2 linked regions of the Stegostoma tigrinum genome follow. The protein of the gene in region 1 interacts with the protein of each later gene in a pairwise test. Links are inferred from orthologs where the notes say so. Each region holds a gene or a part of one and is shown on either strand. Other genes may lie near its edges.

The links. The genes of interacting proteins can lie anywhere in the genome.
Region 2: the proteins of meox2a (region 1) and immunoglobulin-like and fibronectin type III domain-containing protein 1 interact in binary tests that used the Homo sapiens proteins (3 or more experiments, as listed by UniProt). The two-hybrid records come from large-scale screens. The link is inferred for Stegostoma tigrinum from reciprocal best matches to the Homo sapiens genes MEOX2 and IGFN1.

The regions. Positions count from the first base shown.
Region 1 is NC_081355.1:69,823,552-69,830,853, forward strand, and holds the start of meox2a (homeobox protein MOX-2), read right to left. Parts: upstream 3,024-7,302; 5' UTR 2,797-3,023; coding exon 2,310-2,796; intron 1-2,309. UniProt on the Homo sapiens protein: Mesodermal transcription factor that plays a key role in somitogenesis and somitogenesis and limb muscle differentiation. Required during limb development for normal appendicular muscle formation and for the normal regulation of myogenic genes.
Region 2 is NC_081374.1:31,691,412-31,698,595, reverse strand, and holds the start of immunoglobulin-like and fibronectin type III domain-containing protein 1, read right to left. Parts: upstream 3,008-7,184; 5' UTR 2,895-3,007; intron 1-2,894.

The DNA.
Region 1 (7,302 bases):
CAAATGGAAAATGAATTTTTTATGCCTTTTCTCTGTTTCGTGTTGATTAGTCAATCTGCTGTGCAAGCCAATATGTTACCCTCTGCAGCATTAACTTTTTTTTTGCAATTATTGATGTGCCACCTTATCAATAACCTTCTCGAAATCTATGTTCAATACTGGTACCGCTTTAGTCACAGCTCAAAGAATTCCAATGAACTGGTTAAATATGATTTCCTTTCTCATAATGCAGACTGAGTATAACTAGTTTGCACATATATTAATAGAGAACAATTCTATCATCCTCATTTGAGGCAATTGAGGTTATTTTTTTCATAACATTTTGCAGATACTCTAAAAAATTCTCTCTCTGCATAAGTATATAATTTATATCATAAAGGGTTGAAATTCATGTTTAATTTTATTGTTCACCGTTCAATATGACAGTTAACTATTTGATTTAAGTTTCTACAAGTAACACAGAAAATGGATTTTTGCAACCTTTGAAAACAGTTCCTGATATAAAAAATAAGATTTCAAATCGTCTTATATAGCATTATACTTACTTTGTGTTTTATAATCACTAGGGCTTTATTATGAAAGTGCTATTAGAAAGAAACATCTTTAAAAAGGTTGGTCTGTATTTTTTTAATATGTTTTCTGGTAGAGTGAGGAGAAGATACTTTAGCTGAGAAATTTCTACATAAATCACATATCTGGATTTCTTAAAACGGGACTTGCCTTTTGTACTTTAGTCTATTCCACGGAACATTAATTCACTACTTACAGTTCCCACTTCATAAAGGTTACAATGTTATTTTGTACGGCGAGTTCTGAGCTATCTCCCGAAACCGGTTCACCAGGGCGTGCGCCCTGACTAGAAGCGATCTCTGAGAGTAAAACGTTTTCTGTGTGACTCAGTAAGGACTTGCATCTTTGTTTACACCACGAAATGAACATAAATAATCGAAGGACTGAAATGGTGCTGGCAGCAGGTGTAAAAACAGTAATACGGAGTCTGGTTCTTTGCAGTTTAAACTTTCAGACTTTGTAGTGAAACTGAAAAGGACTTTTCTATTTCCTGCCTATGCTTTATTTTCGTAAGGTTTGGTGATGTATGTGTGAATCAGAGGAAATGCAGCCCATTAACCGACAAAAGATTTATTGTCGCAAAGTATATTTTAGCATAAATCTTCGGGGGAAGACGATGCTTTCGTCAAGTAGAAATGTCATACAGCGTTAGGTTCAATCTCTTTGAATTTAAAACGAAAATAATTTTTAAAAAGGGACTCTCCATTTTAGCTGCAGAATGTTTGAGCTTTCCACTAAACTATCGAAAGGCTTTTTAACATAGATCTTGACGTAAACTATTTATTGGCTTCAAGTCGGATGCAATGTATACAATGCGCTTTTGTCGAGGAATCGAGCCTCTACTGCAATGCAGTTCTGGTTTCTAACTTTTTTTGAATAGCACGAGACATATTCTATTACTTACACTTACCCATTGCTTGAACAATTTATTGTTTTAATTTCTTAGAGCAGCTAACGACAGCAAAGCCTACCAAATACACAATTTAAAGTCTGCGGGATGCAAAATGAGGGCAACGCGAGTCAGTAAACTCGATGTCGAGACACAAGAAGAGAGATGGAAAGGGGAAAATATTCCGAACTATATGGAAACTATAAAAATCAAAGCCGTTTAATCAGTGGAATGTGTTAGGAAAGAATTTCACAGAACTGTTTTGTTTTAGATGGAGACTATTGGAGAGAGATATGAATTTACAGGCGATCACGTATTCGGTGCTTCATTGTAATTGGATTTAAAAGATAAATATGTGAAATATGATTGCGTTCGATGTCGATGTTTTCTTGTCCAGCATTTATTCCATAATTTCAGACAGCGGCATTGCAATGGAACGCTGATGGCAATTCCTTACCATTTAAAGTACCCTTAATGATTTGCCATTCAGTATTGGCCCGTGACTGAATTTTGACGGCTCCCGGTTTCATATGGGATGTGACCAAGAATCGGGTTAAAACTCTGCCTTCTTTTAACAAAAGTGTTTGGAGGTTGCAAAACAAAAAAAAAGCAAGAGCAGCCCAGAACCAATCAGTTAAGGGCTATGGGGAAATATAGATGTCTGTTTTTGAAGGTGAGCGTTAACTGAACGAATGAATCAGACCAACGCCAGGTTTGTTACATCAGTTTACGCCAGTCAATTTGGAGTGATTTTGAACAATTTGAGTACAGCTTGAATCTGCACAAAGTTGATGCGCGAAATAGTTGGTTGCGTCCGCTGCTCAGAAACGACTGAAGCCGGGTCGCTTACCTGAGCCGTCACTTTTCCTTTTGGAATTCCTTTTCTCTGTCTCCACTGGAGTGACCGCCGGCCTCCCGTAATCCCCCGACACACAGGACAGCGGGTTATTGGGGTTCAAGCTGGGACTGCTGTCCGCCAGGCTGGAGCCCAGTTCCGGGCCCCCGGATTCCGACTGGAGACAGAGTGTGTTCCGCGCCAGGGGAGGGGGTGAGGAGATCTGAGGGATGTGCCATGTTGCCTGGCCAGCGCCCGGTGCCTGGGGTTGCTGCTGGGGATGACCTCGGTGGTGATGATGTAGGTGATGATGATGACGCTGAGCTGTAAACATGCTTTCTTCATTAGGAAATCCCGTTATGATACAAGAAGAAGAAGACAGGTCTGGAAAAGCCACATGGTCTGATCTTCCATGGAGAGCTAGTGGAGACTGAGAGAAGTGGTGCAGGCTCTGCGCTGGAGCATGTGAGCCGCGCAGGCAGCTAAATATTGTATGATCCATGGGAGCGGGGTTTCAGATTCCAAGCGGCTGGAATTATATCCAAAGCACCTTCGATTTCAAAGTAAACAGCTTCCAGGAAAGCAGGGTTCTTTAAAAGAGATCTGGATCAATCGCTGTTTAACAGCCGGGAGCCCTTTGAATAAACAGGCACACACACAAACACACACACACACACACACACTGACACACACAAGCAGAGCTAATTTTCGGGTGACAAGTGGAGCCAATCGCACGTTGTCCCAGGGAGCTGCTTTCAGGGGGAAATCGTGGAAGATATATAAATAGTTTGTAATGTGAGAGGGGGGCTGGATCTAAGGCAAGGTCCCAGCCACATGCGAAGCTACCTCCAAAAAAACATCAGCCCTATAAATCATGGCAATTAATGACCGGAAATTCGCAGGCGCAGAGAAAGAGAAACAAGGTTTTGTACCAGTTTAAGGGCAGGCTTTATTCCTTATTGCGTATAGCTGTGACCTGCTATTGTCGATGTGAGAATTGTGTGTTTGCAGATGACGGGTGATGCTGAAGAAATGGAAGTGGGTAGGTGTGTTTGGGGGGGGGGGGGGTGAGGTGGATGTGGGAGCAAACTATTCCTCCCACCCCCCCACAAAAAAAACCTCTAGGAGCTCTGGGGTGTCAGATGTCTCTAACGTGCCGCAACTTAGGGGGTAGTGAACCTGTGTCTGTCAGTCAGTGCCACTAGAGCCGTCTGTACAACTCAGCCCAAAAGCAAGGCGTCCCGCAAAGCAGCGAACAATGAGAGCGAAAGGGAACGATTGATCCTCTCATCAGAGTCCTCAAAGCAAACACAACCGCACATCTTCAGATGACAGAATAAATTCCTAACCGATGAAGTCACGTTTAGGTGTTTGGGTTAGGGTTAAAAAGAAACTTGTGAAACAAAATACGCCGGACACTTCCCTTCCCCAATCGATCTTCCTGTCTATCAGTTACTCCGTCCTCATGATGGACGTTTTGATTTGCAAGTGAATGTTTTCATTTGTTAATAGAAAAAAAATCCTGTTCAATAATCGCATTTAATTCCCGGGATTAGCTGCCCTTTCCCGTGCTCCTTTTCTGTTAAATCTGAAACAGAGTCAAAACGGAGAGAAATCCTTTAAAAAACAGATCATCTAAGAAATAGACAAAATGGATTTAAACAGAGTAAAATTCTTTTGAAACCTAATGTGAAATCTAATTAGTCATGCAAATCCCCACCACCTCCCAACCAGAAAAAAGGTCCCTCAAAATAATTCTTCGAAAATTCGTCGCCAGAATTAATATTAAGGAGTTTGTCAGCGTCCGTAGTCAATTCAAATGTTTAAACCAGAAGGGGAAGGGGGATGGCCGGGAATTATATAACAGAAGGCTCCCAGTGGATGAAAACGCGTGAAAAATCGCTTCTGCCTTGATATTCCCATCGAAGGACAGAATTAAGTTGGAGCTGTGTTTTCCTGGAATCACATCGCTTGTCCGAGTGTTACCAATCCTGTGGTTAAAAGTTGTCGATGTGAAACGATGTTTTCCTTCATTGACAAACCATTGGGCGAAAATAAAGATATTTGTTATTGGTAAAATTGCAAAACAAATCTGAATGCTAGCAACTAATCATTTCTGTAAACAATTTGATTTTCCCGAAACAAAAGCAGAAATTGAAAAGAAACTCGTTTGAGACGAATGTCAGAAAGTTTATTGTTGGCACGAATGTAACGTGATTTGTGCTATCGCTCGTTTCTTAGAAAGGAAGCCCTGTGTTGCTTTTCGCAGACATCGATTTGTACACATTTTCTTAGAGACTCCGAACATCTTCAACGACTGGAGCTGATTAGGTGGTAGTTGAGCTTCCTGCCGGAGCGGTTCAGGTTGTACGGCGAGGCACCAGCGAAGTTTCGGCGGATTTCTGTCTCCGTTCCACAGATGTGACCAGGAATTGTCACCCAGGCATCTCATTGCGCAATGTTTCACGCAAATCAGTCGGGGCTCAATTAATTTCGGAAACTCGGGACAGCAAAATAGTGTATTCCAGAGAAGTGCCTCCCCTCTGAGAGTGTGTCCATCGACAATGAAAACGGCACCTCTATACAATAGTGAAAAAGACTGGGATCAATATCATCTTCAACACAACCAACTTTTAAACAGTCTCCATCTCCTTACAGGTAATTGCGGCACTATTTCAGAACAATCTCACACAGTGGAAGGGCCGAACAGCCTCTTTTCCGCAGTTAGGAATCAATAAGTAACGAGATCGCTGGCAAATTCTAAACTGTTCCTGAACCCCGTTTGGCGCTACTGGTAATTTGAGAATTTTATTGAAAAATAAATGAAATCAAGTTTCTTCAAATCCCTCCAGCTGAAAGGCTCCCTCAGTGTTCGAGAGCTGTTCTTTGTTGAGACAAGTACATGTCATAGTGTTTTGAGTGAAATAACATCAAACGTGCTGAATCAGGGACTCTGTTCCTCACATGTTCCCATCCGGAGCAAGATCCTCACCGCAAGAGCTGAACTCAGCTGAATGTCACTTTGGTGATAGCTTCATAAAAACTTTTATTTTAATAAGGGGGTTACTGATTTCTGCGATAATGTTGATGTGCAGTGGATTTTGGAGTCATTCACTGTCTAGGAGCGAATTTTTCCGTCCTGAATGTTGTGATACTGCGCTTTTCAGGTAAAATCAGAGTTTTTTTAACCTCGGACGAGGGATTGTGGAACGAGTCAAAAGCTGCTGTACAGTGCCAAATTTGCCCTTCAGTATGAGTTTGCTGTGATAGATGTTACCCTGGTCGTATAACACGCTGGAGTGGTTGGCCCGCATTTAACAAAATGTAAAACACGACAACAGAAATGAAAAACCGCCGAAGTTGAAAGTATGAAAGAAAACAAAATAAATGGTGAAAATACTCAGTCTAGAAGCATGGTGAAGAGATTTTTTTTATCAACTGGGCAGAAGTGAGCTGAAACGTGAACTCTACCCGAATAACGTACTCATTGGGTCCTCTCTTAATGACATGCTCACTGTGTATTTTAAAAGGGACCGAAACAGAAATTGCTGGAAAAGCTCAGCAGGTCTGGCAGCATCTGTGAGGAGAAATCAGAGTTAACGTTTCGGGTCCGGTGACCTTTCCTCCCCTAGACCTGTTTCTGATTCACAGCACCTGCGGATCGTTCTGTTTGTTTTTGTTTTGAAAGCGAATCAACTTGTCTAAAATGGACTTTGTCCCTGCCTCTCCATTTGGGAAATAAAGTGATAGCGGCTACATTTTGCAAAACTCGCTTTAATTTCTGGCACAGCGTGCGACCTGCAAACATTTTCCCCCCCGAACTCCAAACATGGAATTCTTTCCCTTCAGTTCATGATCGAGATACTTGGCACCATGCTTTTGAGAATGCAAACAAAAATAAAACTTGAAATAATTCGAGGCAAAATTCTTGACAGCTACTTATTTATCTAAGATATAAAAATGTGGGGTGGGAAGGCGAAAGCCAAATAATTGGTACAGTTACAAAAGCACAGCATTGTTGATGCTGGAGATCCGACATGCAAATAGCAAATGCCAGACAAACTCAGCGGATCTGGCGATACCTGGGCAAAGAGAAACAAATATTAACATCTGGAGTCCAATCTGACTCTTCATCGGAACAAGAGGCTGAAGGGATTTGTATATTCAGTTTGCTGGCACCCGGTTTCAGGATCGGGGATCTGACAGAAAACACTGCGCGTTCAACACAACGATTCAGATTTCAGAAGATGGCACAACTCAAGTAACGGGAACCAGATGCCGCTAGACTGATGTCCTTACAATCTCCTCACCAAGCTTTCAAGAGATTTCACTTAATCTTCATCGGTCTGATACTTAGAAAAATGCCGGGCCCCGGGTGTTCCGAAAGGCCCTTTAACTTAGAACTCCTGACGGGGAAACCGACCGGGCCCCAGTTACTGAGCCTCCAGATCTCCGCATTATTAGAGTTCAGATAGTTTCAGGGGATTCGGCGACAGGAGGTCATTTGGAGGGGTGGATAAAGGATTGAAACTTCTCATTTTCAACAGATCACCGTAAACAGGAGGCGTAAATCTGAACGCGGACATCAGTGTAGACTTGGTTCAGATTAATTGAAGTTGCCTGTTGATTGCAACATTCTGCAGATCTGCAGCATCTGTAACTCCAGGAGTTACACTGCGTTTTGATGAAGGGCGTACACCCGAAACACTAACACATCTGTTTTATTTTTGTTTTATTTTACAATAACAAACATATTCTCTTCAAAATGCCAACCACCTATTCAGTGTGTCCAACATTTTCTCTGTGAAATACGTGTTGTTATGATTGCTAAAACAAAAAGTTGTGACATGTTCCAGGCCTTCCTTTCCTACACAATACTTCAGACTGATTTTATCGCATGCAGCGAGACGCTGAAATAATCTCACCGTTTAGAAATAACTTCTGAAGATTCACTGGACCCGAAACATTAACTCCGATTTCTCTCCACACATGCTGTCAGACCTGCTGA
Region 2 (7,184 bases), on another chromosome or scaffold:
GGCTAACATGTAGCAAGTAATGTTCATGCCATGCAAGTATCAGACAATGACCAAAATAACCAAAAGACAATCTAACCATCTCACATTGAATGTTGTTATTAACATCTTGAGGGTTCTCATCAACCTGAAAATGAACTGGATCGGCTTTATAAATGCTACGGTTACAAGAGCATGTCAGAAGCTAGGAATTTTGTAGGAAGTAACTCATCTCTAAAGCCAAAGATTCGAAAACCTGTTTACCATCTATAAGCCAGGAGTGCAATGGAATACTTTCCATTTGCCTGATTTATTGCAGCCCCAATAACACTCATGAAGCTCCACATTATCCCAAAGAAAACAGCCAGTTAAATTTGGATTGCATCTACAACCTTAAGCATTCATTCCTCTCTATTAAAGCTCAGTGAGAGGAGTGTATACCATCTACCTGAAACACTGTAGCAACTCACCAAGCTTCCTCCATCTTCCAAATACACGACTATTACCACCTAAAAGCATAAGGGTAGCAGAAGCTTGGAAACAACATCATCTATAAGTCCTCCTCCAGGCATTGAACCAACCTATGTAGAATAAGAAATGGTGGCTAATGATCCTCTGGATGTGGATGCAGGTGGGATGTAGATGAGGACAAGAGGGAGTCTATCACTGTTGTGGAGGGAAGGGTGGGGGTGACGACAAAATTGTAGGAGATGGGTCAGACTCGATTGAGGTCAACAGTGGTGTTTGGAAATCCTTGGCTGGGGAAGAAGGTGGGCATTTTAAATGCTCGCCTTTTCAAAGTTGGCATCATCAGAACAGATGCGATGGAGACGGAGGCACTGGGAGAATAAAATAGAGTCTTTACGGGAAACAGGGCGTGAGGATGTATAGTCAAGGTATCTATGGGAGTCAGTGGGTTTGTAGTGGTATTGGTGGCCAGTCTGTCCCTGTAACTAGAAACAGATGTTGAGGAAGGGAAGGGAGTAGTGGATGTATAAAGGGACTGCATGTCCATGGTAAAGAGGAGCCAGCTGGAGCTCACAAACTGGAAATTCTGAGACTGACGTGGAGCATTAGAGGAATCCCAGATGTAAGTGGAAAGAGGATGGGCAAGGGGAAGAAAACATTGAGTTGAGGTAGGTAGAGATGGAAACAGTGGGGCAGGAGCAGGCAGAAACAATGCGTCTGCCCTACAGTCCTGTTTGTGGAATGTGGGAAAGAGGTGGAAGGAAGATGTGTGAGGTTGGAGGACTAGAAGCTATGAGGCAGTGGAAAGGAGATCTCCAGATGAAATGAATTTAGTGACCAATTAAACAAGGTCACCTGAGGTTCCATGGTGGGATCATGGTCCAGGAGTGAAAGGAGGAGGTATTTGAGAGCTGGTGCTCAGCCTTTGCGAAGTACTGGTCAGTCTACTAAATAACAACAGTGCCACCCCTTGTTGGCGGACTTAATTACAAAATCAGGGTTAGATCTGAAACTACAGAGTGGAGTCATTTCCTGAGAGGATAGGTTGGAATGTGTGAGGGAGGTGAGGGCAGAGAAATTGAGGTTACCAATGTCATGTTGACAGTTCTTAATGAACAGGTCAAGTGCATTAAATGGCCTGAGGTAGGGGTTCAGGGGAGGGAGAGTATTGGAGGTAGGCAAAAAAGCCTGTGGGATGGGGAGAGGACTCTTATCAAAAGAAGTAGGCATGGTATCACAATTGACAGGGCCCTCAGCTGGGTCCGACCTCTCACCCGCAGTTCCTTCAGTAAACTCCCAAGATATCACTCTCAACAGACTCCGCGTTTGATGATGTGGAAATGATTCGGATGGAAACTTAAGGAAAATAAACACTTTCCAGGAGGGGTAAAATTTTATTATAATTGGCGGTCAGTGCAACTAATCTTTTATGAATTACTTCATGACAATAAACTGGTTGAGCAACAGGGATATACTATTAAATTTTTCGTTGTAGCTTTCAGTCTCATGCCCAATTATAGAGTTGTAGAGTTATACAGCATGTAAACAGTCCCTTCAGTCCAACTCATCCACACCAACCAAATATCCTAAACTGATCCAGTCCCATTTGCCAGCTTTTGGCCCATATCCTTCCAAACCCTTCATAATCATATTGCCATCCAGATACTTTTTAAATGTTGTAATTGTACCAGCCTCTACCACTTCCTCTAGCAGCTCATTCGACATACTGCTTGAAAAATTTGTTCCTGTTGTCCCTTTTAGATCTTTCTCCCCTCACCTTAAACCTATGCTCTCTAGTTTTGGATTCCCCCACCCTATGAAAAAGACTTTGGGGTATTCACCCTATTCATGTCCCTCAAGATTTTATAACCTTCTATAAAGTTACACCTCAGCCTCCAACACTCCAAGCAAAATAACCCCAGCCTATTGAGCTTCTCCCTATAGCTCAAATCCACCATCCCTGGCAAAATTCCTTCAAGTTCTTCAAGTTTCATAACATTTTTTCAATGGCAGGGAGAACAGAACTGCACACAGAATTCTAATAGTGGACTCACCAATGTCCTGTACGGCCGTAACATGACCTCCCAACTCCTATACTCAATGCACTGACCAATAAAGGCAAGCATACCAAACACCCTCTTCAAATTCTCCCATTTTTGTCCATTTTAAATCTGGATTGCAATTAATTAACTGAATTTGTTGCTGTTATCCTGTTTCCCATATTTCTTCAACATGAAGAATGTACCAGAAAATCCAATTATTTTATGGCAGCAATAACTTAAATACTGATTCCATGCAATTCCTGAAGAAAGATATCTTACTCATCATCCAGTATTGCCATTTGCTAAAAAAAAACACAATTTAAAGGAACTTTCCATGATCCACTCTGGAACTGAAAAGCAAACATTACTTGAAATTATCACATTGTACCACAGTAATTTCTAACTCACAGTGGTTTTTCTTCATGCTGTCAAAGGTCATTTTTTAAAGACGTTCTTCTCTTTCGATATGAATTAATATTGCATTACGCACTTTTTCCTATGGGAAGTGCACAGCTCGTTTCTTAATGGACGAATGTGCTTTATCGCACTTCTGTCCCTAGTAAATACCAACATTTTATGGTCCTTGCCAATAGATTTGTCAGGGATACGAAGCAAGAGTTATCAGATTTCTTCCAGCTATTGGTGGAAAGTGTCTACTTTCAGCCTTTCACATCCTCTGTGCTCTCAGGCTATAGGTAGACAGCAGCTGCTGATCTGAGAGGAGTAGTGTATGGTCATTCGACTGAGCTCCATGTGACTAATGGCACCAAGGATATACAACATGTACATGATGTGCATAGGCAAAACTCTAATCAGCTGCCAAAAAAAAGTTTTACGTTTGCTACTGTGTGCACAGCTAAAAATATTGTCCATTATATTTTACATGTTCCCAAATGATCTGGTGAATCACCTGGAAACATTTGAAGCCATTAATAAATGGATGGCTAACCTGTGAAAATCAATTGGCTTTGGACAACCTGACTTGGCCAGAATTACAGCCTCATTTTCAGGAATTCAAATGCACGTTGATTTGTTTTTCCTGATGAGCAGATTGTTTTGTTTATATTGCCTCTGTCTGAGAATTATCTAAGGGGCAAAAGAGCCATTTCTTTGAGAGGCATCTCTTGTCTCGAGGATCCACCCACAATGATCTGCAGCAACCTTGGACAAATCATTGATAAAGATGTTACGATAATCTCCAGGTGAACAAATGTAAACATGGAAGACGATCTTGTTGCGGTCAGATTAGCTGGACGTTGAGGGAGTATGTGTTGATCAGTTGCACCAAGCAACCACAGGGTGCCTGGATGGAGGAAAAGCTGATGATGTTGGCAAACTCAATGCACTCTGTGCCTGTGAGGCTTCATTTATCATGAACTGAACATAATGTTTAGATTTATCAGCTAGGGTATCAGTGACCTGTGAGATGTATTAGTGGGCAGGTTGATCTTAAAAGTAACTAGAGGTAAAGAAGTAGAAGGCTATGATGAATTTGACTGCAAAGTAGGTCATGGTGGTCAATGTGAGGTCCTCTATAATGAAGACATGGGTGTCTATGATCGTTTGCCTACAGAGTCCCAGTCTCATGCTGCACTAGTTGTTGGTCATGTTGAGGTAGCTCCATCTTTGAAGGTTGACCCAATATTGAGAACAGGATCATCTGTGACCTTCTTGCTCATCTCTGCTCTGTTAGGTTAATCACCGGGGTTCTGGTGTTCCTGTGGAGAATTAATCTTCTCAGTGTCATTGTGTCTAAAATCTGAGAGATGACCTCATTTCTAAATGCTACTTTCCTGGTATCCAGGTAGTCCCACAATTTTCCTCAGCAGCCTTGCCTCCAGCTCATGCGGTCTGCAATTGGAGGTGGGTAATAACTTTTTATACATTGTACTTACTCCCCACTCTGCCCGTTACCTGCACTGCACCACAGGCTCATGTTACCCTATTTCTTCAGTTTTCTCGATAGCATTCACTCTCATGATCCAGAGATAATTTCTTCCAGAGTCCATGGCTGAATATCCATGGTATATCTATCTCCCCTCATCTGGTCATCCCTAACAGTGTGTATAGACTGTGTGTCCTGTAAAGGTCTGAAATTATCTAATTGTTAATGAATGAGCTGTACAATGACCTATGGCCATAATCTCAGATTTGATGAGATTTATCTAAGATTTAGCATCCCATTCTTTCACCCTGCCCCACACCAACTTTGTAAATATGTTGGCATTGGTTAGCCATTGTTAGCACATGTACATTCAGAACTTATTTTGATATCATAGAATCCCTACAGTGTGGAAACAGGCTCTTCGGCCCAACAAGTCCACACCGACTCTCAGAGCACTCACCCAAATCCATCCCCCTATAACCCACCTAATCTACACATCCCTGAACACTAGAGGAAATTTAGCATGGCCAATTTACCCTAACCTGCACATCTTTGGACTGTGGGAGGAAACTGGAGCACACAGTGGAAACCCACGTAGACAATCACCTGAGGATGGGATTGAATCTGTGTCCCTAGCGCTGTGAGACAGCAGTGCTAACCAACATGCCGCCCACACGATGTCCATCACCAGCACTAAGTAATTAAAAGATTAACTGCCACTACTTTTATTTTTATTCTTCTTTTGTATCCAAGATTTGAACCTAGGTGCTCCTACCTAAGAAGGTGACATTGAAGGCAGCCATTGTTAAAACTTTTTACTATACTCCTGTGCTTCTGTACTGAACTACGTATGATTTTCTTTTCTAAAGGATTTTAAAGTGCCTTAATTAAATGAGTGCCTAGTACCACCTTCTTTCTCTCTCAAAGAAGTTGCTCATTTCTGAGTGTGCACAATTTTGCTTCAACAATTAAGCAACTAAAGATTAGTTTTTTAAAAAGAAACCTTCCTGCTGAGATAAAAGAAGCAGGAGTGCCAACTCCTGTGCCCAGTGTCTGCTTACCTCTGTGCCACTGTTAGGGCATACTTTGCGGAAGTGTTATTGAATATATAGGCACATGCAAAATAGTGTACTGGAAGAAACGGGAGGGTCCTTCTATATTAATACAATGTGGACATGTTTATATTGTGTGTGTCCAATAGATTACTGCATAACCAGAGAATAAGTAGCTGAAATGATATTATCACAGATTGACTGATGTCAAAAATCACTCAACACCAGGTTATCATCCAATAAGTTTACATGAAAACACTAGATTTTGGAGCATTGGTCCTTCCTCAGGTGTACTGAGAGAGGAAGTATCAAGACACAAAGATATGAACTTCTGTTCTGGTGCTAGACTGAAAATAACCCAATGCTTAACCATAAGATCCTCTGTCTGAATGAGTTTGATGGAGGTTATTTGACAGCTCTGTTTAAAAAAGTTGACACAACATTGACAACATTACAGACATGAAAAAGGCACTCTTGTGGTGCAGTTCTAAGTTCCTTAACTCTGAGCTAGAAGCCCAAGTTCAAATCCCACCTGTTCCGGAGGTGTAACATGTCTGAATAGATTGATTGAAAAAAGGTCTGCAAGCATGCAGGGGCCAGAAAAATCCTAACATTGGGAAATAAATTGTCCTTTGCTTCCTGCAAAAAACTTATCTGAATGTCTGTTACTACCACTGAACATTTTTAATCCTTTGTATATAGAACATAGAACAGTAAAGCAAAAGAACAGCCCCTTCAGCCCATTGATCAGTAAAGCCAAGGAACAGGCCATTCAGACCACTTTGTGCCAACCACAATGCCATTCCAAACCAATTCTATCTGCCTGCACACAGTCTGAATCTCTCTTATACCCTACCTGCTCATGTTTCTGTCTAAACGCCTCTTACACTTTGCTAGCAGCCTAATAGAGCTTTAGGGCATAGTCAATAAATGATATTTATTTAATTTGATATCTTTTGATGACTTCAAATGAAAATACATTTCTATGTGCACATTCAGCTTAATACCTTCCCTCTGAATTAAAAGGCTGCATTCAAGTCTCAGTCCAGGATTTAAGTACATTATCTAGGGTGACAAATCATATTTTGTAGAAGCTGTGCTGACTTATACACTGAAGAAATATTAGCCCAAATCACCTTCAATGGTTTCCTTTTCGTATGTTCACGTGACTATCTGTGGTGTATCACTGGGTTTCATCCTGACGTCCCTATCCTTTACCTTTATTGCTTATTCCATTTTGTCAAATTCAACCTCCACATAAATAAAGTGAACGCCAAGCTCTCTGTTTTTGGCTCCTCCATTAGCCCAATGGAAGGTCAGGCTGTTGGGATGCATGTTTCATTTCCATCACTGGGAAAAGAGGAAGGCAGTTGGCCCATCCCACTATACATTTTATCTGCCTTCCTACTTTCTTTATATTGAGCAACATTGGAAAACAGATCTTTATGTTTTGACTTCATTAAGGATTTTGTAGAATGTCCCCATTCATTTGGTAATTGTAGCAAAAGTGTAATAAGATGGAATGTTTTTATTATTAGTAATAGTCATTTTTTTAGGCTAAACTGGCTAACTGAGTCCAGCAAAATTGAGGCACAAATGTAGTTTTCATAGTTTTTTTGGCAGTGGAAGAAAAAATGTGGGACCACTACATTTACATAGCAGCTTTTCACAACCGCAGGATGTCCCAAAGTGCTTTATGGTTTATGGAAACATTTTGGAACAGTCGCATTGCGATGTAGAAAATGGCACAGCCATTTTGCA